Oreochromis niloticus: one gene and its partner. The protein of the gene in region 2 binds, or shares a complex with, the protein of the main gene of each other region. Links are inferred from orthologs where the notes say so. Each region holds a gene or a part of one and is shown on either strand. Other genes may lie near its edges.

What was found.
Region 1: the proteins of itgav (region 2) and itgb8 are in contact, whole or in part, in a cryo-EM structure (PDB 8TCF), measured with the Homo sapiens proteins. The link is inferred for Oreochromis niloticus from reciprocal best matches to the Homo sapiens genes ITGAV and ITGB8. Residues at the interface, in NP_002201.2 of Homo sapiens: Tyr48, Phe51, Trp123, Leu141, His143, Gln150, Glu151, Arg152, Pro154, Phe184, Gln186, Phe189, Pro204, Trp209, Asp249, Tyr251, Tyr254, Arg275, Arg278, Thr279, Gln301, Met302, Ala303, Tyr305, Phe308, Pro328, Leu329, Met331, Ser335, Asp336; in NP_002205.1 of Homo sapiens: Ser197, Pro198, Ile202, His203, Pro204, Arg206, Ile250, Asp251, Thr252, Pro253, Thr287, Ser288, His289, Leu290, Ala291, Leu292, Asp293, Lys295, Leu296, Gly298, Val300, Pro302, Glu321, Ser324, Leu325, Gly326, Gln327, Glu330, His349, Trp350.

The regions. Positions count from the first base shown.
Region 1 is NC_031985.2:23,807,735-23,824,108, forward strand, and holds the start of itgb8 (integrin beta-8), read right to left. Parts: upstream 8,640-16,374; 5' UTR 7,923-8,639; coding exon 7,829-7,922; intron 6,905-7,828; coding exon 6,819-6,904; intron 3,028-6,818; coding exon 2,856-3,027; intron 2,031-2,855; coding exon 1,924-2,030; intron 1,500-1,923; coding exon 1,360-1,499; intron 1,132-1,359; coding exon 966-1,131; intron 1-965. UniProt on the Homo sapiens protein: Integrin alpha-V:beta-8 (ITGAV:ITGB8) is a receptor for fibronectin. It recognizes the sequence R-G-D in its ligands.
Region 2 is NC_031987.2:29,163,685-29,179,514, forward strand, and holds the start of itgav (integrin alpha-V), read right to left. Parts: upstream 8,196-15,830; 5' UTR 7,775-8,195; coding exon 7,611-7,774; intron 3,249-7,610; coding exon 3,121-3,248; intron 1-3,120.

The DNA of each region.
Region 1 (16,374 bases), on a different chromosome or scaffold from region 2:
ATGAGACCAAAATCAACTTTTTAAGCTGTCACACTAGACACTTTGCTAAGGTAGCACCAGACATTCTATATATTTTAGCAAACACACCATCTCTGGCAAAATATAAAATGAATACAGCAACGATAGGTCAATCCTGGAAGACCATCTGATTCAGTCTCCAAGGAATTCCAACCTAATATAATGAAGCGAAGCCTTCAGGCAAGAGCTAGACAGAAATGGTTTAAAGTCAACAAGGTGGGTGTTTTGGAGCGGTTGAATCGAAGCCCAGAGCTCAAGCCGATGGAGAATTTGTTGTTGGAGTTGAAAAGCACTGTTCATGCCTGACCCTGTGCAACCTGACAGAGCTTGAGGAGTTTTGCAAAGAGGAGTTGTGTAAAATTGCAGTGTCCAGATGTGCAACCATGACTCAGACCTCTCCACACAGACTCAGTGCTGTGATAGCATCCAAAGGTGAATTTACCAAATAATCACTTGAATTAAGATCCAGAAAAACAAAGCTGGAGCTGAGCTCATTCCCGATGAGGCAAAGTGAAATTTGTCCTGTGCTTTGACCAATTACAGAGCTCTCTGGGCTGAAGAGGAGCTTGTTATTAACACACATTCCAAAAGCCAGAAGTCTCACTGGTGTTTAGTGAGCATTAGGGTAACCTGCACTATGGAGGCACCATTAATGCTAAACAATATAGACAGGCTATGGAGTGACACATGTTGCCATGGAGATGATGTAGTTTTTAGGGAAGGCTTTGATTATTTCAGCAACCTAAACTAATACATCTGATGGATTATAACAACAACAATTGTGAGAATGCAGGGTTGAGCCGGTACAATCGAGTAAGGGTGGCAAAACTACATTAATTGGTCCCCTCGCTTCCCTAAAAGAGCGCAGTCACTATACGTCACTAACAGCCTCTGAGGGGGTTTTATATGTATTCATGTACGCCAACTACATATGAACAAATGCCCACCTGGCAGACCGCAGCTTGCAGCATGGCATCTAGTCCTCCTTCAGGTGTGTCCATGTTACCAGAGATGCGCTGGCGCTTGATCACCCGCGTAAACTCGCTCATATTGCTCGTCATGCTAAGGACATGGTGGAAGCCGTGGGCTGGTCGACAGCGTATTTCAAAATCGCTTGTGAGAGACAAAAAAAATAATACATTAAAAACGAGGTCCTGTTTGCAAGATTTGGAACTGCAGAGCTATTTGTTATATGCTCAGCTTATCCTGATGACAATGTTGCCCCAAGCAACTAAAAAGCTAAATATCTTTGTATATATTTTTACATGATCACTGAAATGATGACATCACTCTTCTAGTGTATCATTTTATCTGCAAACTCTAGCTAACGAATGATCTTACCTGCAGGGATTGTTGATCTTCGAAGGATGAACGTTGATGTAAGGAGAAACGGGCTTGTCCACAAATGAGCCAAAACCCAGCCAAAGGTCTGAGGAGTGCTCCGTCATACGAAGGGACAGAGCTACACCCACCGTCTTCAGCTGTGCCGCACGCAGAAAGCAGGTTGGAGAGGTAGAACAAGGACAGGTAAAGAGCGGCAGGCGAGAAAGAAGGCGTGCAAGAGGATATAAAATAAGAAGATTTGGAAGATGATCCAGAATAAATCAGGCACATTAGACAAAAAAGAAGCTTATTTACCTCCCATTTCCTCTGCTTCATTTAAAAAAAAAAGTTTAATCTGTAGTAGTTATAAAGTCAGTGTCCATCTCACTGGGCCCACTTATTACTGTTTATAGATCCTGGTGAGACTTCTCATTTATGCAAGCCTTGACTTAATTATGTTTCTACACAGCAAATAGTCCTTGCAGCTATATTTATATATAGAACCTTCGAGAAGAAGGCGTGGAACAAATCCTCACTGACTCACTGAGCAGCAAAGTGACAGACGAGCATTTTCACACCTACTTGATCAAGGTTTTCCTGCATAGAAGCCGATACATCCACCAGGTAGTACAGGTCCACGGGATAACGCTCCAGCTGCTTCACCGACACTATGAAACTGGCCGCTGAACCTAGAAACAAAAAACACACGCACAACATAAACTGCAATGAGCAAAAATTCAAAAACACTGCATGGTGCACTGCAGCACCAGCATCTCTGTGAAGCAGAGATGCAGTGAAACATTTGTTAGGTAGAGGTTGGCTGAACTGTCCGGACTGCAAGGCATCTTCCCTTTACTCTCACTTTGCTGCTCATCTATATATATATGTAGTTACCAGGAAGGACAGCGATTTCAATGGAAGGGGACTAACTGCACTGCTATTCACAGCAGCCGAACCAGCTACCAAAAGCTCAGATTACAACACACACACACTCACACTTGGACTGTGACTTCATTTAGTGCTTAGGGCACCATTTCTCCACAATAATGTCTTTATTATAGTTTTTTCCTGAAGGCTTAAACACTAACAGTGATTCTTGAAGCACCCATCTCGGAAACTGTTAACACTTTTAGCCAGTGGAATTTTGAACACCCACCGCTTGGTGCTGTATGCTCCCGTACGGCGCTGCAGGCAGTACTCGCTGTGCTGCCGAGCTACTAAATACAGCACCGCATGTGATGTGGATGAGGTCTTATGGCCTGATCCTTAAAGAAGGTGAGATTTTTCCCATTTTTTTGTTCCTTTTCTTTCCCGCAAGAATGTTCTTATTTTCTGATATTGCACTGGTGTTCAGCACATTCACAAAGTGCCCTGCTGGGCACACAAAATAATCAAAAACCACAAGCGCTGGTCATTTACACTATCGCCGCAATGGTGTGTTGTCTGCATACTGAATACATTTTTAAGAGAGTCTGATCGTTTTTACGCCCAACCCAAGTTATCACGTCATCTACCTGGTCTGAGGGTGATGCTGATGTCTCTTGGGGAAACTTGTGTGCTGCTGATGGTGGCGTTGACCTCCACCTTAACCTCTGACTGCTCCATGAACTCCAGTGCACAGTCCCTCTTGAGCAGGTTAACTGGCAAGTCACAGCGCTGACTTAGCCCCGCCCCATCTAGAAAGTCCTACAGGTGAAAACATAAAGTTCAAAATGGTCAGTTTGCCCTTCATTCAAAATATGCTGGTTTTAAAATCCAACCCTGTTTCTAAAACAAGTTAGGATGATGTAAGGAAGACAGCTTCCTTACTAGTATAATTTGTATTGTGGTAACTTGCACAGCACTTTAGGAGCACCTTTGCACTTTATTAAAAGCACTTTATTGAGCACTGCACTTTAAGAATAGACTTGCACATCAATAACCATTTGCACGCAAGAGGTTTAATTATTTATTGAATATTTATTGAGTTATTTAATAATTAGCAGGTGGCCTTTTGTTTCAGGTCCTGCACAGCTGCTCCTCACTGAGAAGTGTGGTGTTTGTCTGTGAGGAAAGGTTGTTACTGGGAGCAAATAAGGTCTACTGCCAAGTAAAACTTAGGCAAATGTGTGTGTTTAAAGTCTACAGGTAAAAGTGTTGGTGCAAAGATCTTTTCCGTGTCCTCTCCAGGGTGTTTGGGCAAATATTTCCCCAGTGGTCCCGACACCATTTAAAGGTTCCAGGAGAGGCCATGGGTTAAGGGAGTGTGAGAAATCTCTATACATGGGTTTTTGGTGTTTTTTTAATAGAGTTAAGGTATAAGGTTAAAATATAACATATTTAATTATCAGAGAATGGTGAAAATGTATTTATTTATTAACTCAAATTGTGTATTGTATATAGATGGTGGAATGGTAGAATTTGGTAAACTCACCTGAGAGTAAATAATGGTTTAGTCCTAAACAGCTGAGAGTATTTAAGGCTGCCATTTGTCATTAGACAAGAGATTGTTGTTGCTGTTGGAAAGCTTGATCTACCATTAACTATCATGGTGTTAGATACATGTGGGCAAATAAACCATACTTTGTCTCAGTCTTCACCGTCACTGTAAATTCATCTGCAAAAGCTTTGTCACAGATGATGTGGGAATGGATGGATGAGCAAATAATTTAAACGCGTCCTTGAAAATAGCAAAAAGATAATAAAACCTGAAATGTCATTGTTTTTTTCCAAAAAGCAAATTCACTTCCAACAAAACGCTAACAACACTGTAGGTAAAAATGTCTCCAAAAGGTGACAGAGTAATCTTTTTGCATTATCTTGATGAATTAAGCAAAGCCTTCTTTTATAAAACAACAATGGGAGCATATGTGACTTCAAAGCCTCCAATATTGAATATTAACGGTGCCTTTGCACATGTAAGTTACTCACGCCATGTGCACTAATGAATACAAATAACAGATGGCGGATGTTGAGATGGTCTCTCTCTTCTTCAGCCCACGGGAGGCGGCGTATTTGATTTCCAAAAGGACTTTTGTTTGGTCAATTTTGCACCCTCCTAAATGAGCTTGGGCCCACCCATTGCAACTGTATTTCTGCATCTTGTGTATATCCTTTTTCCTCCTCTTCATTGTGGGGATAAGTGTGCATACAACGACGATCTGTGAGTTGGCTGACGTTGGTTTTAAAAGTGCTCTGAAAGCCATTAAGTGATTTCCACTGTGTAATTGAGTGCTGCCTGAGGGCAACAAATCAAGGCCATTCAATGTTGGATTTCAGCCTTTCTTTCACCTTTGTTTTCACAGATTTCTCTGGATTCTACATTATTTTATATACTGCAAATAATAATAGGTAATAATGGCGTTATATATATGTTCCCCAGTTAGTTGCCTTTTAAAACACATTTTATCACCCTCTAAATAAAAAAAATATATCTTGCTGGTTACAAGTTCAAATGAAGTGTATGTTTCAAAAAACAACATGTTTGAAATTCATCAATTTTATTTAACATTATAAATTTTAATATAGGAGAAAGTCTGTAGGGTATAGCTCACTTGCAATTTTAAATTCTATAAACAGAGCATACAAGAAAGCCATGTTTTCGCTGTAATCTCATCTGTATGATGAGCACATCTCCTTCAGCCAGTCTGGAGCAAGAACGAGAGTAAACAATTTCAAGGTCAGAAGAAAAATTATAGATTTTCTCTACACTTGTGCCGACGTCTCCCGCTACATCAATTCAAAAATGTATGCCTAACACTCGGCGTTTAAAGGCTGTAATCTAGTTAATGTTTAACCCATTAGTTGATTTTTTAACCTTTGCTCACTGTGAAGTATGTAGTGAAAGACTGTGTGGTTCGCTTCACACATGCTGCAGACTCCTGCACACTGACAAACATTCAAAAAAAAGGATTTACTTGCGACGCTTCTGGAGCCCTTGGGCAACTTTTGATCCGTTTCTCTTTCTCCTGCGCACCTGCCTGATGTCACAGACGTGCAAAGCCTCCCCTCGTTTATTCCACTCAGGGAAACATGCAATACTGAAACCAGTTTCACAATTAATCAGTGGTTTCATTTTTCATTCTTATTGCTTTCAGTGTGTTTGCATTGATTTTTGATGGAGTTACCCCGACATGAGAGCCATGACTGTTTTTGCTATTGGACCCTTGAAATTACTCATCAGTTTCAAGTACCAGGGGGAAGTGCCTGTTTGGATTTACTCGTGTCCAGATTTATTCTCCGTGTATTCCAACACTGAGCGATGGAAATTTGCTCAGTGTTAGTTTGGACAGTTCAAAATGTGATTAGACGCCCTTATTGTCTTCAGATTCTTGATTAAGTTCTGCTAACAGTCAGCTGCCACAACAGCAGAGTGTAACAGTGTCATGCCTTATAGCTTTGGAGAGGCTTAGTGACCTTTGGTACTTAAGTCTGTAACAAAAACTCTCACAAATACAAGGAAGTGGCACAAAAAACCCTGTAAAACTACACCCCTAAATATGTGTATTTACACTGTAATTAATCTGTCATGGGCCAGACTGAGTTCAGTCATTTTTTAAAAAGCATGAGGGGGAAACAGATAAGGGATGAAAGAGTGAAAATTAAAAAAAAAAAATCCACACAGCCAAGGAAAGCCGTGGTCTACAATAGGACCTGAAACTGTAGCAAACTATCTGACCAGGACCTGAACCTGAAACCTGGACTGGATTCTGTGTATTTATGGTGTTCCCTGTGGCTATAATTTGCCCTGTAACAACTCTGAATACTAAAAAGTTTCAGACAGACTTCCCGGGACTTTCCTTACACAGTCTGTCTCTTCACTGGACTCTGATATTAACAGCCAAATGTGAACATGCATATTAACAAAAACTGTACCGGCACTGTTTAATACTTATCCAAGCATGGCTCTGTGAGTTTACATGACCTTGTATGTGTGTGTGTGTCTCTGTGTGTGTAGGAGGTAACGTTTGAGGGCTCACACACACACACACCAGTGAACCCAGCCCCGCTTGATGATGTCAAGAAGTGTAGGACTTAGAGGGTGGGAAAGCACCTGAAGTCTGTAAATGCACACATGCTGACAGTCTGGTCTGGTATTTTCTATCTGTGTGTTGTGACTGGTGTGGCACCAGGAAGCTTTACAGCTCCTCAAGTCTGTTTCGGGGTGGGCTCTTTACGAGACAGACCGACACACAGACAGAGATAGAGGCATGGGCGGAAGCAGCAATACGTGTAAGTGTGTGGAGACTAAACACATGGATGGAAAAGTGGCTCTGTCTCTGCCTTCTGCCTGAGAAAACGTGCATGGAAACATTCACACGGGCAGCCGGCGCAACTCACACGAGTCATAACGCAGGCCGCCGAGCTCTAAGGTGCATATTATATTCACATTTGTGGACTGGATCAAAGCTTTGGTTCGTGTCATCTGAGGAATGCTGTCCAATGCCTTCCACGTTTGTGTCTGACACACACAAACACACGTTCATACGCATTCCTACCTCTTTGAAACACCAGGCGCACTGTGGGCCACGGCTGAGGCAGTCTTTACAAGAGGTGACGCCAGGAGACCGACACACGCTGTCACCTGCTCAAGGAAGGGAGGAGGAAAGGTGGAGGAGGCAGCGAGAGAAAAATGATTGCAGGGAAGAAGAAAAAAGATAGGCAAGAGGAGGAGGGAAGAATCTGAGATTAGCATATGAAAGAATGTGTGTGTCAACACTTATTAGCCATGCAGCTGAACCCCTGTGGACATTAGACACTTCTGATGATAGGAGCACCACTTAGCATCTCATAAGAGGCTGTTCAGCACAAATCAGCCACCATCTGGAAGCAGGTACTGGATTTGCTGGAGTGGTAACCCCCCGCCCAACACCAATACACACATCCATACGACATCTAATCATGAGTCAATCATTTAGTGAGAATGTGCATATGTAGTCCATAACTAGGCACTCAAACAGGATATGTCTATGCAAGGTTTGCAGAAAAAAATACAGTAAGGATGCAGACTTTACTGAGTGACAAAGTATGGCTTTTTGTAGTGGAATTAATGTTGTAGTGTAGTGATTTATCTGCTGGAATCTAATTTTCCAGAGTTATTCCAGGGAGCTTCAGTGAGGTTGTAATGTAGGACAAAAGGAGAAAAGCTGCAGGTCTGAGCATCACTAACAGCGCACTCTCACCCAATTAAAACTCTTGGCCTCTGGCAAAAAAGACTGTGAAGGTTAATCATTTAACTTCTAATTTTAAATGTTCGGTAATGTGCTCAACACAGAGGGCTGGAGTGGTATCTGCTACTGTAGTGAGGCTGTCATTACCTCTCATCAATAACTAGTTTGTAACTCCTCCACATGAGCCAAATGCCCATTACGAGTCTTTTACGTTACCTCCTGCAGAGACTACAGAGGGGATGGAGGGGAAGCTAATGATCGCTTGACAGTGATAGCTACAAGATGCAGGCTAATTGCTGAGATGGGATGTAATTAGCCCCCAATGAGCATCCACTCACCGGCACTGAAGGATTCTCCGCTGAAAGTGGCCACCAAACAGCAGAGCAGGAGGCACAGACAGGCGCTGTCGTATGTGCGTAGCCAGGAAGTCATATTATCCTGTCCACACCGGGTAGGAGACCGGAGCCAAGCAGCGAGGAGACACGGGAAGCGGAGCTGTACGGCTACTGGAGATGAACCGGGGGAGACCGGACACCGTGCGTTCGCCGGCGCATGAACAATAACCGCGAGTGCTGGCCCGAGCCGCGGGACATCGTGGTTCACCCAAATAGCCCTCTAATCCCGGAGAGGCATTCACCTCGACCGGTCAAATCAGCTTACAAGCGCGCTCCCCCGTGGGCCACGAGAGGAGGTGAAGCAATCGGCGGAGTGCGAGTCACCTCCATCTATTTCCACCCAGCCGCAGGTGTGCGACGCGTCCCCGAGAGCTTCTCACAGCTTCGCCTCACAGCTGATGGTAAAAGTCTCATCCCGGGACAGAGCACAAGCCGAAGTTACACACGGGAGAGCCAATCAGCGCTCAGCCGGCGCGCAACCGACATGCTGAGTGAACATCATACGCCGAGAGCAGGAGAATAACCGTGTTTTAACCACTGCCATGGTAACCACGCCGCTGTACGTACGAGAGAGAGAGAGCTCAGAAGGGGAGGGGCGTGTGTGTGTGTGCGCGGGGGGTGGCTGACAAATAAGGAGAGGAGGAAGAGAGGTGAACAAGGAGGAGTTGCGGTGCGGTGGATTCCGAGTGTAGCGCTGGTGTTTATGTTGTTTCTTAAGGGAGCCGTAAGGGGGGCGCTGTGCGCGAGGACCTGCGTGGATGGATGATGGTGTGGGGTAGTTGGGGGGGTGGTCAGTAAAAACCAGAGCTCTCGCAGAGGGGTTCACAGGCTGGTGCTACAGCGGACAGGGGGAGGTGACGGGGTGGGGGTCTGACTCCATTGTGCGCAGATTCCAGTGACATAGAGTAACCTCCTCGCCGGCTGCTCCGCTGAGGAGAGCCAAAAATACTTAGTAAATAACTGAACGTTTTATCCACGAGGAAAACAGCCACGAAGCAAGAAAACGCGTAGCAGCCCAGACCATCTTTGGCCTGCTCGTATCTGGTAGAGGTCCTTAAGGTAAAAAAGAAAGAAAGAAAGAAGAGAGATGTTTGTCTTGGCTCCAGGCCTCAACGGCGACGGTGAATGCGCCAACGCGCAGCAATAAGATCGCGTTTATCTGCTCTTCTTTGGCCTCCATCTGTTGCTCAGGAGCCTGGAGCAGACCCAGCCGGCCTCTCCTCTCATTCATTCATCCATTCATTCACATAATTTGTCCAATGGGAAATTTTGGAGTGCTGACACCTCCCCATCCACACTCCAAGCAGTCACCCTCAATTATGATAATGATGCAAACACACACCCCACTGTTTTCTAAGTGTGTGAAACATCCCTGAAAAGCAGCTTCCATGCAGTCTCTTTCTCTCTCTCTCTCTCTCTGCCCAGGCTCAAGTCTCTCCTCTCTGCAGGCTGAAGGTGGCAGCAAGGGTTTCGTGGTGACCAGAGGGCATAAAAAATAGAGGTATTCACTGCTGAGCAAACTTGATAATGGACTCCAGTGTAAACAGGTCCTCTGCCCTGGTCATCAACACTGGCCTACATCACTATCTTAATGACAGCTGTCATTGTTGTTAACCCGACACAAGCCACTCTTCCTCCGAGTCATTCCTCCCCCACCTTTCCCACCTCCACACCTCCTCCCCCTTCTCTTCTCTTTCTTCTCCCCCTGCTATGTTTGTGTTAGCAGTCGGCTGGGCTTTCCATCACGCTGGTCTGGCCTCATCGTTCTCCAAACACACACACACACACACACATGCACGTGTGGACAAACACATACATACCATACTCTATTTTGAAGCACCTGCCCAACTTTATTCTTTCTTTCTTTCGTTCGTTCTTTCTTTCTTTCTTTCTTTCTTACTAAGTGGTCATTCAGAGAGTTCTCAGTGATTTTCTCTCTGAAGCCTCGCCCTCACTCTCCATTCAGCCTCCCATTCTTTGGATAAGCTGATGCGAGAACAAAGTAAGGGGTCAAATGTGAGAGGGGAGCAGAATGGGGATTCTCATGCATGGATCCAAGCCAGCCACCACAAGTGCACAGAGTGACTGACGTTTGGGGAGATTTGGCACAAATTTTTCTTTGTGTTTCTAAATGTCAGCATTTTTGGGCCTTTTGTTATCAAGTGGAACCGAACAGCCACACAGTCATAACAAATTTGCATTTCATCATGATTTAACACTCGACAGTCTAATCTGAAATCCCCTCTCACATTTATATGTCAGCATTTGGCCTTTGGTGAAATGAATTCCCCCTCAAAAATCAGAATCACCTATCATCGCCTTCCTACTCATTTTTTTTTCTTCTGATGCTGAACTGTTTTTTGTTTTGTTCAATTTTATATTAGGAGAGGTGGAGGGGGAGTTGAATCTCAAATTTCCACTTCTATCAAAATGTCAGTCTAAATAAGGTATTATGTAAAGCAGAATCAAATGTTTCTACTGCTATTATTCACACGCTGACAGCAGCCACGTTTCAGCTTACGGAGGGGTAAAAATAGGAAGACCTACTTCTGTTCCTGTTTTGACTGAATCAGGAAATTTGACAAAGAACTGAAATTTTTTGAAGTCATAAAAAAACTGTGTTTTTATTTCACTGGCACAGTCTGATCTAGTCTTTTGTTGTGGGTAACCACTACATTATTTTTAATATGAACAGGAAGCTGCTATGTGAACTGATCCATATTTGGTCACTGTGAGACAGCAGTGATCAGGTGATCTAATTTTCTTTTGCGTAAGGTTCAGGTGATGTAAAGTTCTGAGTATTTTAATATCTTTAACACTAACATCGGAAAAGTCATTCTGACTCAGGGAAATGTCAACATGGGGGAAAAAAACAGCACCGCCATGAATACAATAAATTTAGCTGTAAAATCATTTTTTCTAAATCGATTATAAGAATAGATTTTCATATGAAATGCTGGGCTTTTAGGAAATAGTACTCTTATAGTAAATAAATGATAGTAAATAAATAGCAGACATATTTGGCATGTTCACCTGAATAGCTGGCGCTCAGTGAGTGGATGTAGTGCTGAGTGGCATAACAATAAAAATAACTATGAAATGTGTCAGTTTCAGTGCAACAGTGTGACTTTATAAGTTTGAGTTGTTGTTGCGCAGAAGTGAAACACTGTCATACAGCACTGACTGGCAACGTGAGTAACACCGACCTTGTTGTTACAATGTTACTTTGATTCATTCACCCCTCGCCACAATCTTGCCTCTTTCCATCAGGACCAAGAAGAGTCCACGAGCCCAAATGACCCCCAGGTTTCAACTTCAAATCCCCAAAGGATTTGCTGGACTCCCAGATTTCCACTCAGAATTATTTTAGTGGCACAAGGGAAATCTACACTGCATTAAGGAGCTGGTTTTGTTCCTGACTGTTATGATTCCAAGGAAAGAGCTATTGCTTATTAGGCTGCTAGCAAGATAAAATCTGTGCTCAGTTCATTGTTGATTTTGGCCTTTAATTTTTGTTTCCTCTTTCCTCAAACTCACTAACCATTCTACCGCTTACATCCGGCTGTGAGTTTTATGCTTACGTGGTGGAGACAGCAACACTGATATCAAAGTTGCTCTTCAATATAAAAAGAAATCTGTCTTTGAAAAAAACAAACAAAAAACCCCAAAACACATCATGTGGTTTACGTGTTGAGGACATGATGAGTCTTCAGGAAACATAAATGAGAACAAACATTCAAAATAAAGCAAGATGCTGCTTTAACTAAGACATCCTCAAGAAACTAGGCAGAATTTGTTACATAAACAGTAAAAGCATTCAGCACAATTTAAATATGTAAAACACAGAGTAATTATGCAAATGTTTTTATTCAGATTAAGATGTCTCTGCTACGCAGTAATAATCATGTCATATTCTCCTGTGATGCAGTCTTCTGGTTCGTTAGCTAGTGTGACAATAATACCCTCAATATCTCAATATCTAATCAAAAAAAATCACATGGTAGCAACTGGATGCATTTAGGCACGTAGATGTGTTCAAGGTGACGTGCTGATTTTCAAACTGAGCATCAGATTATGAAGTGACCTTAAATGTAGCAGGGATGCTGGTGCCAGATGGGCTGGTCTGAATACTTCAGAAACTGCTGATCTGTTGGGTTTTTCCCACACAATCATCTCCAGAGTTTACAGAAAATGTTGCAAAAAAGAAAAAATGTCCAGTGAGGGACAGTTCTCTGAGTGAAAATGTCTTGTTGATGCCAGAGGTCAGAGGCATAGCCAGACGGCTTGGAGCAGATGGGAAGGCGACAGTAACTCAAACAGCCAGTCATTACCTCTGAGGTATGAAGAAAAGCATCTCTGAAAGTAAAATATGCTGAACCTTGTGTACCCATCTACTGATCGCTGCTTCTAACAGGAAAACTTCCCATGTCACAAAGATCACCTCAAACTGGTTTCTTGAACACGACAATGAGTTCACTGTACTCTGATGGCCTCCAGAGATCTCAACTGTTTGGGTAGAAAACAACAGTCACGTCATGCATGTATAGCTGACCAATCTGCAGCAGCTGTGTTATGCTATTGCACCAATATGGACCAAAATCTCTGACGAATGTTTCCAGGACCTTGTTGAATCTGTGCCATGATAAATTAAAGCAGTTCTGAAAGCAAATGGGATCCAACTGCACCGTGTGTACGTTTAACTGAATTTAAACTCTGAATTATGTTTATAAAGGTGAAAATAGAAGCAACATGAAACATCTTTAACCTGTGGTATAGTTCGCGTGAGAGTTTTTCCATATTAAAACCACAGTACCCATAAACCCCATCGCAGCTGTTTCAAAAACGATGCAGCTACCAGACAAAGTTCCTCCTCGATCTTTCACTTTCATGAAGACTTCAAGCCTGATGCTCTACATGGGAATTTCAACGGAAGTACTTCGCTGTTAGCATTGAATTTCCTCCTTTGAAGCAACAGATTTAGCGTTTGCATACAATGACACCAAGACATTTTTGCATGTATTTCTTCGAATTGAGTCTGAATTCCTGTGAGGTTTCATGGTTGGAATGATGGCATGTGCTAAGATTTCAGAAAACATCCGTTTACTCTCCACTGGACATACCCAAGGAAACTCCGTGGTCACTGCGATGTCACAGCTGATATTTATGGTGACTATCAGTGGCCTTGTGGCTGAATGCAGACGCAGACAATAGTACAGAAACATGCATACACCTCCACTTCACTCAACCACGAGCATGACTGTCAGCACATACAAGAACTAACACAGCAACCCATGTTTTTTGTCACTGTTTTTTTCAAAGAAACTGTGGTTTCAGTAAACGATTACAAAAGAAATTATCCCAAATGACTCACTGGGGCTACAATATCATGATCTGGGATCAGAACTGGCAGTGCTTGCCAATCTTTAAAACAGCAGTGTGAACATTTAATCTGTGTATCTTAGCGGCATTTCATAGATTCAGTTTCTAAGGTCAGATGGAGAGTTTACTTGGGTGGCCTAAAACTCTACTTTTGCATTCGTGGGGTTTTAGATTATCCAACTAGAGCAATCAAATCGAACGGAGGCAGCTGCTTTTGGCAAACTACTTGTAGGCAAGACTAGAGCGAAAGACCTGTAATCAGCAAGGATCCTGTAACCAAATGTTTAGTGGTTGTAGAGTAGACAAGGAATAGGTCAGATGACTAAGCAGTCCTCAAACGACACACGAAATGAGAAGCAGTCAGAGTGCACAAACATCCGCCAAGACAGCTCATTCTCTGGGCAGTATTTACTTTTAAGGGAATAGTGTTTTATTTTCTATATATTCCTTTTTTGTTCTTTTTAAATTCACTTCAGTAAGTGTGTAGCACAGTTGTTTGTCTCTGTGTGTTAGTCCTGCGACAGACTGGTTCACGGTGTACCTCTCGCCCTATGGTAGCTGGAATAGGCTCCAGTGCTCCCGCCACCCTGATAAGGATAAATGGAAGAGAATGGATGGATGAATGATTAGCAAGAAATAGGAAGTGAAAAACAGTTTTGAACACATGTTTATTTTTTTTTAAAAGCATTAAATTCAATAATATTAATCATAATAATAAAATAAATGTCGCCTATACAAACACAGGCAGTAGAATTTTAAGCATAGTTTTAAAGTTTTAAAGATAAAAGACAATAAAAGGCGTTTTAAAAGAGTTTGACTTTATTTGACATTAAAGATGAGGTCAGAGGTCCAAACCATGAAGATATTTAGATTTCCCATATATTATTCCTTATATGGTGTCATACAACTAATGGCATTATAGGAAACACCATTTTAAATTGGTCTTTATACAGTACCATTATAATTATTTTAACCTTCAGATCAGTCTAATTAGCAAAAGAAAGGTTAGAGGTCAAATGTGTTAGTATATTTTAAACCTTTATATGGTGCTTAAAAATCATCACCACACTTGTTGGAGATTAAGTATCGGAATTTCAGGAGCAGGACCACGCCTCCAAACACGCTCCTTCCTGTTCTCATCTATATAGGTACCCCCAGTCCTACAAGCTGTTCATTCTCATTTACGTACCTGGGATCTGCCAGGCCCGGGAGCCGCTGACAGTCCCCTTCGAGGCCTTCCCCAAACCGCAGCTCAATTCATGTCCAAGCCAACCTTTACCTACTAAAACGCTGTCAAACATAAATGAGGACGTGGGCCCAGCTAGTGAAAGACTCATAGTTTCTTAAGTTACAAGCCTTTTTGTCATCTCTCATCCAATAAATCATCAAGCTGACCTTGAAGACCTTGATGGATGTGAGCCTAATTTTAAGGGATGGCCTCACTCTACATTCCTACAAAGTTTTATCATCACACATTAAAATCTTTTCGATGAAAACTTTACAGACAGGAGGACATGCACACAAACCCTACCTACACTGGCAGAGGGAGCAAAGCTATGAAGACTGTGAGATACAATCAACAGCTCGGCCAAAAGATTTTATTTCAGTCTCGCTATTTAAAGTTGTTTTTCTGTATAATTAAGGACAAAATCTGCATAGCTGAGACAGACATCCTGAATTTCCCATGACTGGGTCAAGCACGTAAACACTCTCTTTATTACAGGCTCTTGAGTCTGCAATAAAGATGACCTGTAATCTAACTCAGTTTGTCCTCTCCCAGGTCTCCTGTCTGGTAAATGCCCACATCCATCCTTGTAATTTCTTTGCTGAAATAATAGTATCAGGTGCTCAGGGCACCTGTCAGAGATGCACACTCACTGTCCCCTGAATGTGAAAGTGAAACCCAATAATAGGGAGAGCTTGGTTATCTATGCTCCTCATTGTGCCCACTTCCACTTAACAAGGAGCTGGAATGCCCCTAAATTTTCACACACACATCATGGGTACCAGCTGCGCTCTGCACTTTGTTACTGTATTTCTATGAAGGCCAGCAGGAGCTCTCTGGCTCAGCGCCAGCTTCACCATGAGAAAGAAAGGGAGCGTCAGGGAGAGCGAGGAGGGAGGGAAGGAGCGAGGTCACCGCTCTGAAGGACTTTCAGTTATATTCAGGGGAATAACACATTCTGGCCTGCGGGGCTGCAACATGGAGGCGTAATGGTGATATTCCACTCTGTGGTTTACGCATACACATCCACACTCACCGCCGGTTCCTCTAAATCACCACCCAGGTTGTATTTCCCTGACACAACTGCACTGCTGTGTAATGTGAAGTCACCCAGGAGTCATGTGGGAATCAGATCCGTTTCCCAGGTAAATGTCCGGTGATTCAAGGGCAGCACAAACACAGATCAGATCTGCAAAATTAGGTGGCAAAATGAGTGAAAACTAGTGAAAGAGACAAAAAAAAGCCTTTTTTTTTTTTAAAGCTTTTGATCTGTGTGTTCTGCTTATTAATGTTACTACAAGGTCAGAGGAAATGAGGAATCACTTTTCACTTTTTGACTGAGAAGTCAAGTGTAGAAAGGAAATCTACTTTGTACCAGCAGCAGACTGAGCTAAAGGAGAGGAGAAAGTTGGATGGGCAGTGATGCTCAAAGATGAGGCAGAAAAGCTCAAACAAGCCGACACAAAAGCATCGTTTGTTTTCATCACCCACAGAGAGACGCTTAAGACAGTGTCACCACCAGGGATAGTTCTGGTAAAATCCACCAAATCACATGAAGCATGTCAGTTTTCTGCTTCACCTCCCAGTATTTTTCCTCCTTTCCAAGTAAGTCATAACAGCTAAGTCACATTGTAGCTAGCTGATACCAAGGACAGCCAGTACTGTAAACAATAAGTAGAGAAAGATAAGCAGCTTCACACAGTCTCACATCTTTAGCAAAGAACTCATGAATCCATTGCCAGGATGTTCCAGAATGAAACAGATAGTAAGATCAAACACATTTGTTAAATAACTGATTACAGTAAATGTCAGGTCAGAGTGTGGCTCATAGAGCAGGAATGCCAAAAAGAGACGGCAGGCTCTTTTTATCCTCAAACTGCACGGA
Region 2 (15,830 bases):
ACCAACCAAGCTCAACTACACAGCCTCACTCAAAGAAACACATACTGCCCTGTCTCCGGCTATTTACACTTCCCTCATTCCGTCTAATCCTTTGTCTTCCATGTCCTCTTTTATGGAACAGGCAGAAAGTGTGGTTCCATTTTAGGGGAAAATATGTTTGGTATGTATACCCTGGAGATTTCTTGGCAAATGTAAGCACAGAAAGACAATTACCTAATTCCCTAATTACCAAATGGAAATCTCCCATCCCACCAATTTAATTCACTATTGCTATGTCAATCTTAACGACTATTTCAAAACAAAAGTAGCTGGTTGGTTACCCCAACACCACTGCAGAAAAAGAGGTAACTGAAAGAGCGCCAGATAAAAATGTAGAAAAGACAACGGAAATATGACATTTCTGTTTTTTCATGTGATGTTTCTGCACATCTTTAGTGGAGCTAGAGCTTCAGTGGAACTTGAGGTCACATGCTTCATATACGTCATCATTTGTTTCCACTGCTCTTTGTCACACTTTGCTTTTATAGATTAAGAGGGGTTTTTTTTAGACTTCAAAACACTTGTACATTTCGACTTAGTTATATCTTAAACTCAAATTAAGAATGTGCATAAAAACGTCACTTAAAACACAAAACACCGTAAAAGAAGTTTATTCATCCCTTTGGGGCAAGTCGGTGCTTTGCCATCACTATTAGAGCATGTGTCAGTGGTTGCTACATGAACTGAACTGCCCCAAGCATACTGTTCAGGTAACATCAACACCTGGCTTGTCTGTGCTCTCCTGTGCCTGCCATTTTTCCTCCTTGGATCTTTAGGGGTGTTTTTGTATTTCACTCCAGTGTGTAGAAGACATTAAACCTACACTCAAAAAGATGACAGTCACTCATTTAACACCTACTCTTAAAAAATGAAAGCTAGCATGAAAAGTTAATCATATAGCCACAGTTACCCAGCCCCGTTATGAAATCTATAAATCATGTCTGTCAATGTGTGCAGTCACCAGCGATTTGGAAACACTGCGGCTGCACTGTTTCACCACAAGATAAGTTCTGTTTTGAAAGACTAGCTCTTATAGACATCTTTATATGACCCAATACTGTTGACACGCAAAGAGACCTTGGTAAAACCAGCAATAAACCAGCTACACACTGAGTTTACATTTAGCAATTTAAACCACTAGTGTTGTGCTGGGTGTCGCGGCATTCAGAGGTGTGATTCTTCCTGCTTTAAAGTCAGCGGTGAACACACCACAGCTTGTCCTTCTTGAGTTGTCAAAAGTAACAAGACTTCTTAACGTAATACTTTTAACAACAAAACACTTATAGGTTCTCACAGCCAACTGACCACCTCCCAGTCTGAATCATTAAGGAGGACATACAGACAGAACAGCAGGCAAAACAGATACGATTTCTTATAAATGGTACTTTTCCTTGTTTACCTTTCAAATGTCACATAGGCTAGCTTTAAGTCTAGAGAGGAGACTTTAAAAATGTACACTGCATGTATGCAAAGCTGACAGCAACACAAACGTCTGTTGGACAAAAAGTTAACACACAGTTCCCTTTTTTACATTTAAATACTCAAGAACACCCATCTGAACTTCTGGTTTCATATGGGAAGGAAATGGTTTTATTGTAGACATTTTTATTATGGTTTTGACAGACGGGCTTAGATGTAATCCCATTTGTTGAGTCGCAAGGATGACACAGAAACAAGTCCCGCTTTGCTATTGTGAGTTCTGGCACGACGCGAGAAACCAGCAGAAATTTTCTAAGGAATTTTAATTCGACCACAACAATCAATTGCTTCTTTATACATGTTTGTTTTCGCTTGAAAGGAAGCGGAAAAGGAACCATGAAGTGAGTTTGTTCTGTCATAAACCTCTAACTGACCAATCACCATGCAGAATGGTAGCATTTCATGTGGAAGAAAAGCCTCCTTTAAGCAAACACCACATAAGCATCGTTTCATTTCAATGCAAACATATTATCAGTTCTGCATTTTCAAAACATTTTCTATAGAAATAGGTAGAATTCATTATTTTAGCCTTTTAGCCTCATTAACTTCTATTCATTGACAATAAGACTATCAGTGTGCTGAACAGAAAGTGGGAGGGCCCTACATTTGCTTTGTTATCAGCTTAGGAACTAAAGAATATGACAAAGTATATAATCAGGTAAAATCCTAACTCTCTTTGAGCTCCTGAGAGAAATTATGGTTCTTGAGTGGGTCAATGGTTCACCAGGTAGTCTCAGTTTCAGTTTATCTGCTATTTTTGATATCAGTGTACAGCAGTTTTTAGCCACAAATATAGATTAATTAGTACTCGAGAACATTTAAAGCTCTGGATCACATGTGGTGTAGTCAGAAAAGTGTGTGAAACACAGATTTACTCATTTATAGATCCAAAATGCCACATATTCTCCGAAAGTTTGGCTTCCCCTGGTAAAAACAACAGATATGACCAAAAACATTTCCTTGACAACTTCTGCTGTTCTTCATAATCAGTTCATTCACATATAAAGGAAATAATCACCATTTGCACCTAAGAAAAGGACATTTTATTGTGTGAAGCTTCCAGGATTCCTGGAACGTGTGGGTGCTGCTGCCTCACAGAAAAATGACTGAAATTCTACGAAGACAATAAAGGGATTAATACCCACATCACAGAACATTGCCAAATTATAACTGTTTATCACTGTGTAAATATTTACAGTGAAGACAGTGCTCTGCTCATCTGGCCTTTCACAATCAAAGAGAACCAGTAAATTACTAAATTATGATCAATGCTGGAGACAGATGATTGCAAAATGGATAAACAGAAGGAGGCAGCAGTTTTTCTGTCACTCACAGTACACGGACGAGTCCACACACATTCTGCTTCAATGCACATTCCTGAATGTGTCTTAGCATGAAAACAACAGAAACAGGCTGAGCTGAACCCTCAGTATCCAATCAGTAATACGCTTACTGAAAACTGTCCACGTTATCTATCATGGTCTGGAATTAAAATGTAAATTCTAAGTGGTTTTCATTAAAGGAGGGAGAGATATTGAAGGTTAAAGCCACCCTAAGGTGATGGGGAAGAGTTTTTAACCAAACTAAAGGGTCTTCTGGTACCTTTGTTGTCAAACAGCAGCTGCTGACAGGCGCTGGAACCGCTCCAGGGGCAGCTGTACACTACTCCTCTCTCCACAATGCTGTCCGAAGACATGTTAGCTCGAGGAGCTCCAATCAGAACGTCTGACCTGAGGAGAGGAGAGGACGTTATTCCGTAACACAAACAGACACCAACTCATACAGAAAAAGCCACAAATGCTGTCATGCAGTAATTAAGCTGACCAAGAGAGGCTAAACTGTGTCTGATTCAGCTTAGGAAACAAAGCTTAATCTTTCAGTCATCTGTTACCACCTCAGTCTAAAAACCTGTGCATACACGACTCAGCTGGTGTTTCAAAATATGGCAGCTTTACTATCATAGTAATTTCTGTGAATGAACTCGGCCTACAAGATATGAGGAAAGTCTGTGAGTAAGAACTCATCAAATACTTGCATATGGATATGCAATGTGCATATTAGCTATACTAATATGCATATTTCTTGATAGATAAATAGACAGGGTTAATATATTGGTTAATTCTGGCTATTTGCTGATATATCCACCATGACATTTAAAACAGCCAATAAATAAAGGTTTTTTTAAAAAGAAGTGCTTGGAGAAATACCCTTCAAACAAGTGCTGATGTTGCTTAGTTTATCCAGAGTGCACTCTGCCACACAAATGCCACAAACATGACAACAAGCTAATCCGAGACAGGAAGAGTGTAAACAAGCAGTCCACCACTTGTTGTGACAATAAAACAGTATTATTATAACTGCAGTGTCATATTTAACTGCTCATAACAAATGTTCACGTAATCTTTTTAGGTTTCTTGCATCTGAAAGAAAATAGTAATAAATAAATCAGATTTTTAAATCATTGCTGTACAAGTAAAACGAACATCAGCATCGCCATATATCTGCACTGTTTTTGGATTTTTTTATTCCTGCTATAGAGTTCAATGACAGTCTTGGGTGGTTATTAAGCTTCATTATAGCTCAGGTTCTGAGGTGCAGTGATTAGTTGTGGTGGTATTTTCCCACCTTCTAATAATACCAATACCAATAACAAATACCAATAATAATAGTAATACCAGTAATACCAATAACAGCATTTTTTTTAAACCACATTTCAGGCAGGCTTTTATATTTAGCACAGAGATTGATATTGTTAGGATGAGGCAATGCAATAATGCATAAAAAGGCCCAGAGTTCAGCCGTGTGCTCAATTTACTGAAGCACAGTGAACTAAATTTATCTAGCACCAAAGCAGGGACTTTCTGGGGATTTAACCATCTCACAGAACTTTAAACTCTGGTTCATCCAGTTAAATGTTAAGTAGAAGAGTTCTTTAAAAGACTCATACTCTCCAGGAAGTCTGTGGTGAAAGCAGAACTTTAGTCTCTAATATGGTTCAAACTAAATTTAAAAAGAAAAGAAAGAAAACACTGGATGCTGCTTTTATCTTCAACCTGCTCATTTCTTCCAGTGTTGATGTCCCCACTCTGCATACATCACACAGGACTACAGATCTACAGGAGAAACATCCAGAGCACCAGAAGATGACATTATCAGTACTACTGACCGAGACTGGTACAATGACCTTCATGTGTAGTTTAAAGAGGTCTACAGAGCCACAGCGCTGCAACAGTGAGTGTTTGTCCAAAAGTATCATTGCCTGGAACATCCCATAACTAGTATGTGACTAGTTCTTAATCTAATAAACATACGAAACACAGATCATCTCCCGTCTGTAGATGCTGCGGTAACATGACAAATTTCCTCAGCGATATAAAACATGATTTGGCTGCTTGTAGCGATGCTGCAAGAGACAGCCAACAGTTTTCAGGTGAACAGTAGGTCTTTGTTCAAAGCATTTAGGTTTTGCTGCAGTGCAAAACAGGATTTGTTTATAAAGAGCCATTCAGTGGACATTTTTTTTCCTTTGCAACTGCAACTGTTTTCACTACCTAAGGTACTGACCACTTATAAAACGAATGAAAACTTTTCATCCGTTAAACACTGCTGTGCTAAAAGGCTGCTGGTTCAGTGAGACCGAGGTGGTTGTAATGATTGATGTGGTTGTTTTAAAAGCTGACAGGAACCACACTCAGTAGAATAAAATTAAAACAACAACAGGAAAACAGCTACAAATCAAGTGATCTCTCAATACGTGTAATTACTGCAGGCCACACATTGTTACACTGGGGGGTTTTTAGCTTCCAGCCACTACTGCTGCCTCAAACTAGCTAATAAAAACCGAAGGACAGGCTGAACTTAGCGTAGCTTATTGTTAGTAACATTTGGCTGATATAGCTTTGTGAGATTTATAAAATGAATCAAAACTTTTGACCTTTTTTATTTAACAGAATACATAGCTCTAAATGAAGCCAACACAAAGTACCACAAATGAACGGTTCTTCTAGTGGCTCTGAGCTTGGCATCAGAAAAACATAGTGAGGCAGTGCCCATAGATGCATTAAAAGGCCTGTTTACAGCCTGGTGTAAAAACTGTTTTTGGCCTCCGTGGAGAGTTTCCAGCTTCATAACAACTCTAGTATGAGGGGATTTGTATTTATTTTTATAACTCATCCATCTAGATGCTGACAACATGTTTAGCTGTAGCTGATTGGTACCCGCTGGGTTTCAGCTTCACTAACTGGAGTCACCATGTTTAAACAACTGACATGGGTGTGGTGCGGAGCATCTAAGAAGTTTGTGATTCAGTTTTGGTGAGTGAAATTGTAGTGTCTGTCTGTTATTTAGCACTATTTAGTAGGCATCTGTAACTGTGCATTCAACCCATATGGTTTATAGATGATGTTTCCTAGCGACAACGTATCATTCCACCCTCTCATCTAACCACAGTCACTTCTGGGTTCAGCAAACCAAAATGGCAGCAGTCAAACACTAATGGGTGATGGGTGGCGTCACAGTAGCTACGACCATGCTTTATACAGCTTATGCTTGACATGCATTAGGCCCTGTGAGGAAAATCTATAGTTCTTTTTTAATAACTAGAACCAAACGAGTCTCCACAGCGACCGTGTTCTGTATGAGGACATATTTACATTATTAAGCCATGTTCAGCCAACTTCGGTCCTGATATCATATTATACAAATCCACTCTGACCATGGCAATAACTGTAACATGGGCAGTGAATTTCAGTGCTGATCTAATTAGTGTTACTAAAAGGATTCAATGTTTTTCAGGCTACTGCAGATGAAAGTCTCTAACTTTCTGTCCGCTCTGTCAGTCTATTGTCACATGAGACTGCAACATTTCTCTGATATTTTCTCAAATAAAGAACCTTGAACCTTGAAATATGGAGAAATGGCAGGCAATCGATATTTATCTGCACAGCATAGAGGTTTTAGATGTTACAACACAAAGTTACTGAATATGTTCCCTTACCAAGGTCAACAGGGCTCTGCTGCACTGAGGGAGTCATCTGCAATAAACTGACATTTTCCTGGGTACCTACTGATGTTTAGTTGAACAAGGGATGAAATCCACAAGAATTTATTTAACACAAAAAATGAACAACTGGGCTATGCGTTATGGGATGATGCTTTAAAGAGGTCTGGGAAAAAACCACCTGTTTTCTTATTATACATAAAAAGTAGCACGGTGCAAGTTTGTTAATGTGCATCTACAAAACTGCTGCAGAAACTCTGTGCAGGGAGAGAGGATGACAGGCAGCTTTTTGCTATCTTTTCATGCAGACACTCTAAAAATACAGCAAGAAACAAGACCAGGAAGCATAAAGGCGATGATAAGACTGTTATTAGGATGTCTCACACACTCCAGGGAATATTTTTTAAAAACGTTTTTCAGGAACCTTTATGACACTTGACAATATGGGAAACACAATTTAAAAGCACCTCAGGTTAAACCTCCTCTATGACCGAGGGCGTTGGCACTGTTTTGGGACTGCATTTGGTCTGTTAATGATGTAAATTAACAAAACAAATGCAGTCTGAAAACAACTAGATCAGTAGTGTTCTTTTGAGAGAACTACTTTCACTTCAGTAAAACTGGATAATCATGGATATCCATGGACGAGAGTTTAGACAGCACCAAGCCTACATGGCCTCTGGGCACTGTTCCTGTTTGTCTGTGTTCATTTTAAATAAAGTCACAGCTGGTGCAGCTTTGAAGGGAGAATCTCTGACTTATGGATTTTTCTTAAAATATATGGTTATAATAATGGGCAATAAATTCAAATTGCCTGTAAAATTCAGCCCTTACAATTTGGTTAATAAAGTACTGAAGTAAAAGTTAAAAGTTAATGGACTGCTGTTAATGGACTGTCATGTTAAATCTTAAAAACATATCACTAGCTGAGAACTTGTCACTAAATAACAAAATGGCCAAAGTGTAAAACTTAAGTAAAGTACTTCAACAGAAGCATATATAATGTAAAGTAAGGTAAACCAAAGGTTACATTGAACAGGCGCTTCTCCATCACCATCATCACCATAACCATCTACTCTGCTACAAATCTTACTTTAGGTTGTTTAAAGCCTTAAAGAAGTCCACCGAAAAGCCGAAGTAGCTCCCCTCAGGTCCGGAGTATACGATGGAATTATTCACATCCAGGTTGAAAGAGCCGGAGCGATGGAAGTGTAAACACACCAGGACCAGCACAGCAGCTGTCCGTGTCCCTGCCATGGCTGCTGCTGGAGATCTCCGCGGCTTCACCGACACAAACACAGACGCCGAAGATGTTGTCTGTCCCTTATCAAGTTAATCAGTTAGCTTAGAGGTGTTGTGGCCTGTATGCACCCACGGTGTAACTTTAAAATGCCTAAAATCTCAGCCCTGCTAACAAGCGTCCCCCCCGCAACCGTACAGAGAACAAGTCGTCATGTAATTGTTAAATAAAACACATTCCCAGCTTGTACCGGAGCTAACCAGCGTTACACACAGCGCAGGGCGGGGGCAGAGTCAGTCTTTCACCGGCGATTCGTTAGTTTGTCTAAGCGATGAAAGCGGCGTAATCTCGGAACAAGCTCGGGGAGAGGCCGCGACACTGTGTGTGTGTGTATGTTGTATGGTGTGGGTAAGTGTGTCAAGGATAGGCTCGCTCCAACTAGCTAAAGTCAAGTTATATGTCCAAACATAGCAAACAACTTCCGTCTGATACCCTTCAAAACAAAAGCATGATTTTCGGCTGTGCTGGGAGTTGGAAATTTAAATCAAATTTACAATTTCAAATGTAGGAAGGGATTCAGAACAGTTGAGTTTCTTTCAAGCTAGCTAGATATATAGATAAATATTAAATAGTTTAAATTATTTTCAACTATTGCTCAGCTAAATTACACACACAGTGCGCAATGGCATCATTGGTAGTTATTGTTGTTGTGACGATACTTCATAAATGCTCAGACGTTCTATCAAGTCCATAAACATTCAGGTTCTCTTCCTGCCCAAAATAAGCTGGCCACTAAGCACTGCTGTTTCCAAATAAAAACTCCCATTAATAGAGAACAAATAAATAAAAGAGAAATAAACTGGATCCAGCCCATCAGGAGACACACACAAAAAAAGTCATAGAAATGTTTGTGCCACTACAATTCATTACAGTTGTGAGAAACACTATATATGATGCTCTGCTGAAAAAGCAGTGAAAGTCCATCAAGTACTGTTTTCTTAGGAATTTTTATTAAAATGTTTAGCATATTTTGCTTTTCTTTTTTTTTTTTGAGTTACAGTGTGTAAAATCTCACCACTAGATGGCAGCAGATTGCATAATTGCAGTCAACTCCTCTCAGTGCTTTGGTGGCTGCTATAGGACAAACATGTTGTAGTCAGCCAAAAGAGATCAAAACATTAAATTTAGACTGTACCACATAACCAACTTTTTTTCTGTTACTGTTTGTATATAAAAAATTATATTTTAATATATTTGAGGAATACATATACTTAACAATAGATGTAAGAGTTAAAAATAAATAAATAAAAAAAAGGTTATGTGTCAAATATTTTGCTGTATTTTATGTTTTTACCCTTGAGTCACTTTTTGGGCCTATCGGCCCACCAGGAAAATGCCTGGTATCCCAGATTAACCAGCCCTATATTGAGGCGAGTTGTTGCAAACATCCTAAGGTTTTCTGCCAATAACACTTGTTTGCCACTGTTAGCCTCTGTTTGCCTGTGCTAGTGAAAGTTTCCTTGAAGTTAATATAACCCTGTTTTACTCAAACACTTACAAAATAAACTCTCACTCAGTCATATGAGAATCTTTACATCAGACAGAAAGAGAGATTTTTAAGACACTCAATCCTAAACTAACTTTTAACCAGTTCTTGTTGTACAGCTGGTTGTCAGCTAATCACAGGGTCGCATGCTGGCAATAAGTAACTGCAACAAAATCTGAAAAAATTGATATGCACATTGATATGAAGGAGATGAGCGGTGAATTGAGGAGGAAAAGGAAAGCATTTTATCCAGAATCCAGTCGTGCTGTCACTTTTCTTCACATTTTGGTTCTTTGGTGAAAGAGACCTGTTATCAGACGATAAAACACCTTCCCATTTTGAATCTGAAGGTGCAGACACAAATTAAAATTTGCCTCCACAACACACAAACGCTCATGAATTCTCTTGTCCTCCACCTTGGGCGTACTATGTATTTGGCCAATCTCTAATCACATACATAAGACACAGTTAGGCAGGAAAGGGATGTCCCTCTCACTATCTCGGACACTGTATTCAAGTTGGAGAGGCAACACTGTGACTTCCACAAACTGGCCCAAGTCCTATATATTTTAATGGATTAATTCAGGCAAGTTTATGAGAACATATTCATTTGTTTTGGAAATCATTATTACACACTAATCTATGTATATGTATTAAACCAATGTTTGTTTGTATGTTTGTTTGTGACCTTATATAACACATTATTAATATAATGCTCTATTTATAGACTATTAGCAAATTATTTAGCCTCCATAGCTTTGGGATTGTTAAAATGCCTTTAATCATGTTAACTAGACTGCACATACCAAGCTTTTATTCTGAAGGCCAGGTCGTTTCCCTTTCTTGGTGTCCTTGGTTAGTCAACATGACAACACATTCTGAACAGGAAGTCCATTCCCCTGCATCAGACAGCGTGAACACACACACACTCGCACACACACACACACACACACACACACACACACTTTTCCAAGACAGGCAGGCGTAGCCTATAAGGAGGGATTTTGACTGTCATGTAGCTGTTTTCTGTTCTGTTTTGCTTCATTCTGGGTCATCATCAACTTATTATCATCAGTCATGTGTAAAAGATCGCTGAAGTGTAATAGTCAATAGTTTACTTTTATAAATAAAATTTAAAAGGCCCTTCCTATTGTGAGAACATTACACATTTTACACCTCTAAAAAACGTTGCCACTGTCAGCAGATAATATGAAGGATTGGTTTGTCTCGTTAGCTGAAACGTTGTTACTAGATAATGGAAACTTTAAACGACAGAATTAATTCATTTGTTCAACCTCTTATGTTTAGGCAGTTTGAAGTGGACGCTGAAAATGGTTTTGCTCCTTAAACAGACCAAAGAAAGCAATTTCTTGATGAATTACATTTGAAGTAACTAAAGAATTGGCAAATTTCCCCCCTTTTCTTAATGAGCTGTGGTGCAGTGATAGTGATAAAAGAGGTGATTTTAATTTAGGGAAACATCGTCTTGATTGGACAAAGCTAAACTGCTCAAGCATCATATATGCTTCAGATCAACTTTACCATGTAAATTTACAGAGTAAGGACTGTGGATTTTGTCCCTCTGCAGTAAAAGTGGTTCGGGAACAGACTTCTCTGGGACAAACTGGAAAAGAACAATGATTACAGCAAGCAAAGCTAGTTTTATTGTTGGGCCCTCACTATTATATGACAGATTCATGATTTGACTCTTATAGTAAAATCTTACAATCCATTGCAGAGACACCCCTCAAACCAGATCCAAATGATTAAAGTTTCGAATATAAAACTCTCAAATATAATGGATAATAATGGAACAGAACAGACTTAGATTTCAACTCTTTTCACCAACTTAATGCACTTTACACTACAAGTTTTATTCCTCTTTTTTATTTATCTAACACCTCATTTTATGCACTTTATGCCCTCAAGTGTGTTATGTAATTTGCCTCCCATCTAAGGTTGATTAAGAATTATCCAAGAGGAGGTGAAAACCCATGCAAGCACAATGAGAGCATGCCTGTCCACACATAATAGCCCCAAAGAAACCAACACAGTAATAGGTGACTTTTGTAAGTCTTTAACAACATTACACATTTTATACACATTTGTAACATATTTGCAAAAGGAAGTATCCATCTGCCTGCTTTAAAAATGGCTACAATCAAAGTTTCTCTGAGAAGGGGACAACATTATTGTTTACTAGTCATTAGTGAGCCCCTTTTCAGGGATAGGCAGGTACCACTTTTGTTCTTTTCTGTTCTTGAAAGTCACGTTACAACTTTTGTATATTTAGCTCTAGAAAAGGCAACGAGGTAAAAGAATGAAGAAAAAGCAAGAACTAAGTCTGATAACAAAAAGTTTTTAAAAATCCAGTCCTGAGCCCAACATGTAATCAAAAGAGCCGAGTTCCAGTCTCCTGCTTTCTCAGTTTGGGACTTTTCAGGATAATAACATACAGCAATACAGGCCAGTTTAGAACAGGGAAGCCTAAAAAAATCAAGACATCGGAGTCAAAGTTCATTGCAGTTTGGCACATGTCTGGAATCTTTGAAGGCCAAATGGCACAGCTCAAGTCAAAACAGATCTGTCAAGTCTAAACAGACCAGTCCAGGGCAACTCTGCACTTGTTCTATGCTAACACCCCCCACCCCTTTTTTCCTTTTTTTCTCATTTTTGCTGTACACATAATAGTGGTTTAAAAATCTAATTTTAGTGGCGATTTTACAGAGTTCATTTCTTCAACTCACTGATTACAAATAGCATTCAGCTCTAACAGAGTTGCAGCCCAAAGTTTTTTTGTCATTGTGTATGAATGCACAAGTGGCCAAGTCCATGTAGCTACAGCAGCAGCTCATATGCGGACAAAGTAGGCAAGCTGAGGCGTTTTCGTCTTATTTGGCTATGAGCTGCTCTGAATCATTGCTCCAATGAAGTGTACACTCAAGAATGTGTGGCAGGACTCCCTTGAGATTCACAGGAAGGGGGAGGTTATATGTTTGTGTTTGGAAGGGAAACAGCGTCGGTGTAATACATAGCATGAATCATATGTTGATGGCATAAGGCATCAAGATAAACACTTAAGCCTGGTTTTGGTGCCATGGTTACATTTGTATGAATGTAAAGGAGTGAAATCAGAGTGAGCAGGAGAGACAGACAGGCAGAGAGAGAGAGAGAGAGAGAGAGAGAGAGAGAGAGAGAGAGAGAGAGAATATACTTGTGAAATTGAGAGAGATGTTGTAATGGACGTTGTGTAAGGCTTAACTATGCAGATTACGTACCATGTAGAGCACAGATGCACATTAGCCTGGTTTTAATGTTTAAATCCAAGTATCCTCTTGAATCTCTGTCTTTATGAGGGCCAATTAAAGTAGTAGAGGGAGGAGTGAGGACTGTGTCTGACTCCTTAAAAGCTATCTGATGATTCGGTCTTGCTTTTTTATGGTTTGAGGTTAAACTTGTTGATATTATGATTAGGCCTAAAAGAGTTGGTGGCGACAGATGAAAATTAGCACACTAGTATAACACCCCCTTTTAAGTCAGTGATACTTATACAGTTAAAACATCTAGCACTTACAGAGGAAAATGACGACTTTTGGTGTTTGTCTCCACCTAACAAACTTAAAGACAAGGGATTTTTTTTAACTAGATAGACTACAAGCCCAGAACACTTATAGAGACTGTCTTAGAACACTGTGAGCAAAAGATAACTCGTAAATCTACATGCAGTATACTGGAAAGACTGGGCAAGCCTTCTTGTAAGTAGTAGTCTTCAGGAATAGAGACAACATAGTGTGTTTCATCCAACAAGAAAAGTTGACACAGAAAAGTGAAAAACACACAATGTAACACCTAGCCTCCACATTAATAAAGCAGTGTGGGATCGTATTGACAGGATTGATGGAATAAGACAGTCAGCATCCACAGAAGAGATTTAAGAACTATTCCTGAAGACTGCTTAAAGAAATGGCAAGAAAGCTTGCCTAAGTTCAAGGACTGAAGAATAAAAGTAAATGTTGTTAGAACTGCACAAACACCTTATATACTATGGAGTCCATATATGTTTCAAATCAATTTACCAATTTCTCATTTTCCTAGCAAAATATAATGTGCCTCAAGATTTTTATACAGGACAAAGTAGCAATTACAGCAAATTTCTATAAAAATTTGTGTAATTTCATTGTGTATAAAGACATTTGTATTGATGTTTATTTTCCATGTCACATGTCACATGGAAAAGAAACTTTTTTTTGTGTGTGTTTTATAGTCATATTGCATATAGTATGTGTGGTGCATCTCATAACAATTACATCTTATACTTGTTGCCAAAGGTTAATGCAGGGTGATCAAAAAGTATATTCATGAACTGTAAACAGCTCCATTGCTGTAAAAGTAAACTTCATCTGAAAAATCCAATGACAATTTGGTCCTAACATTAAACAATGAGTATCATCGTTTCAACGTATCCTCTCATAGCACAAGAGAAAGTGTGAGTCAACTGATGTCACGCATCAATCAGTTGAGAGCACAGACTTCTCTATAAAATAGAAGGTGCTTGAAGCCACTTCTCTCCAAGAAAAACATCAAGGAAAGACTGAAATTCTGCATAAACTACAAGGACTGGACAGTAGAAGATTGGTCAAAGGTTATTTTCTCTGATGATGCCCCTTTCTGACTGTTAGGGACTTCTAAAAAATTGATAGTCCGAAAGAGGAAAGGTAAATGCTACCATGAGTTGTGCCAATGGTGAAGCATCCTGAGGTTATCTATGTGGTTTCTTCTCATCCATGGGATTGTGCACATTCACAATTCTGCCCCCAAACACTGTCATAAACAAAGAATGGTGCAAAAGGTCTTTCAATGATCCAGAAGGAATTTAGTGGCAATCTGTCTATTTTCCAGTATGATGGAGCAACATGTCACAAGACAGAAGTTATAACTAAGTGATTTGGTGGTCATCAAATTAACATTCTACAGCCAGGAAACTCCCCAAATCTTAATCTAGTCAGTCAGTCCTTAAGAAGCAAGTGAACAGCCTGTGATCGGCTTGGAGCACTGATAAGGCAAGAATGGATGACCACCAGAGAGCTGTAGAGGGTTTTATGAAGAAGAAGCTATGAAGAAGAATCATCACTACATACTGACTGCATACATTTGATTTCTTTCCCAGTTAAATTCTTTATTCTCATGAAGTCCTTGTGATTGTTCTTCATTATACTGAAGCAGAAATCAAGTGAACATCATGCTGTATAAGAAAAATTCAGAAGGAACCAGTTAAATAAGTAAATCATAAGACTTGCTAGAATAACAGCAGCAGAAACTAATTTTAATAGTTTTGCTGCCTCCTAGAGGTAAAGTAGGGGATTACAGTCCAGCAGATTTTCTTTCATCCATGAAAAAACCTTTACTGAGACCATCAGACAAATTGTCATTTTACAAACAAGAAGATTTTGGTCCAAAGAAAACACAATGTTAAATATAGCATTTTTTTAGTAGCAGAAAAAAATACTGAAGTTTCATATTCAATTTCATATTGAAATGTTTCCTTCCTTTTCCCATCTTTGTTTAACATACTGCATAGAGTGAGGCTTCCTTGTAAAATTTACCAATCACACCCTTAACTAGCGTGTTTTCATAAGCCTAAGGGGTAAAACTTCATGACAATAGATCTGGGCTTTTCGCACCCATTTGGTTTGTGCGATGTGCTCTTTCACTTCCAAGTGATTGGCCACTGGGAAAGCCCAGCGAGTTTTTCACTCTTCTGTCCATTTCATCCCAAACCAGCTCAATGGGATTTAAGTCTGGAGACTGCGCTGGCCACTCCATGTTTTCAAGCTTACTATCTTGTTCTTTTTTTCTGAGGTAGTTCCGACATAGCTTGGACTTATGTTTTTGGTCGTTATCTTGCAGCAGAATGAACCCCTGACCAACTAAGCGCAACTCAGAGGGTATTGCATAGCGCTGCAGAATGGTGTAGTAGGGTGTCTCTCCCTCTGTACAAGTCACCGACCCTGGATCCAAGCAAAACATCCCCAGACCATCACGCTTCCTCCTCCATGTTTGACAGTTGATGCCGCACACTGTGGAACCATCCTTTCACCTACTCAACGTGCGTCGTTACATCAGGTGCATACCATGACTGAGTTCATCTGAATCACTTCTACTGTAGCTGAATATAGTACAGTATACAGCAAGAACAGAAAAAATGAACTTTTTTTAGTGAAAACTGCTCTGCTCAGGCATGGCACAGATCAGCTAATGTAGGTATCTTGTATAAGAGCCACTACTGACAGCCTGGTTAGCTGTGGAGGATGAGGGATGCCAGGGAGAATGCCAGATTTTGCTACTCAATTAAAAATAAAAGAATGCAATGATTGAGGCCTGTAACAAGAAGGAGCCTTGTAATGCCAGTATAAGGACATCCATTTATAGGCTTTTCAGGATATATATTAAGGGTATAAATTTAATACATATCCTAATCAAGTTAAATACGAATCTGACTTCAGCCCACAGCCCAGCACTGTAGGTTG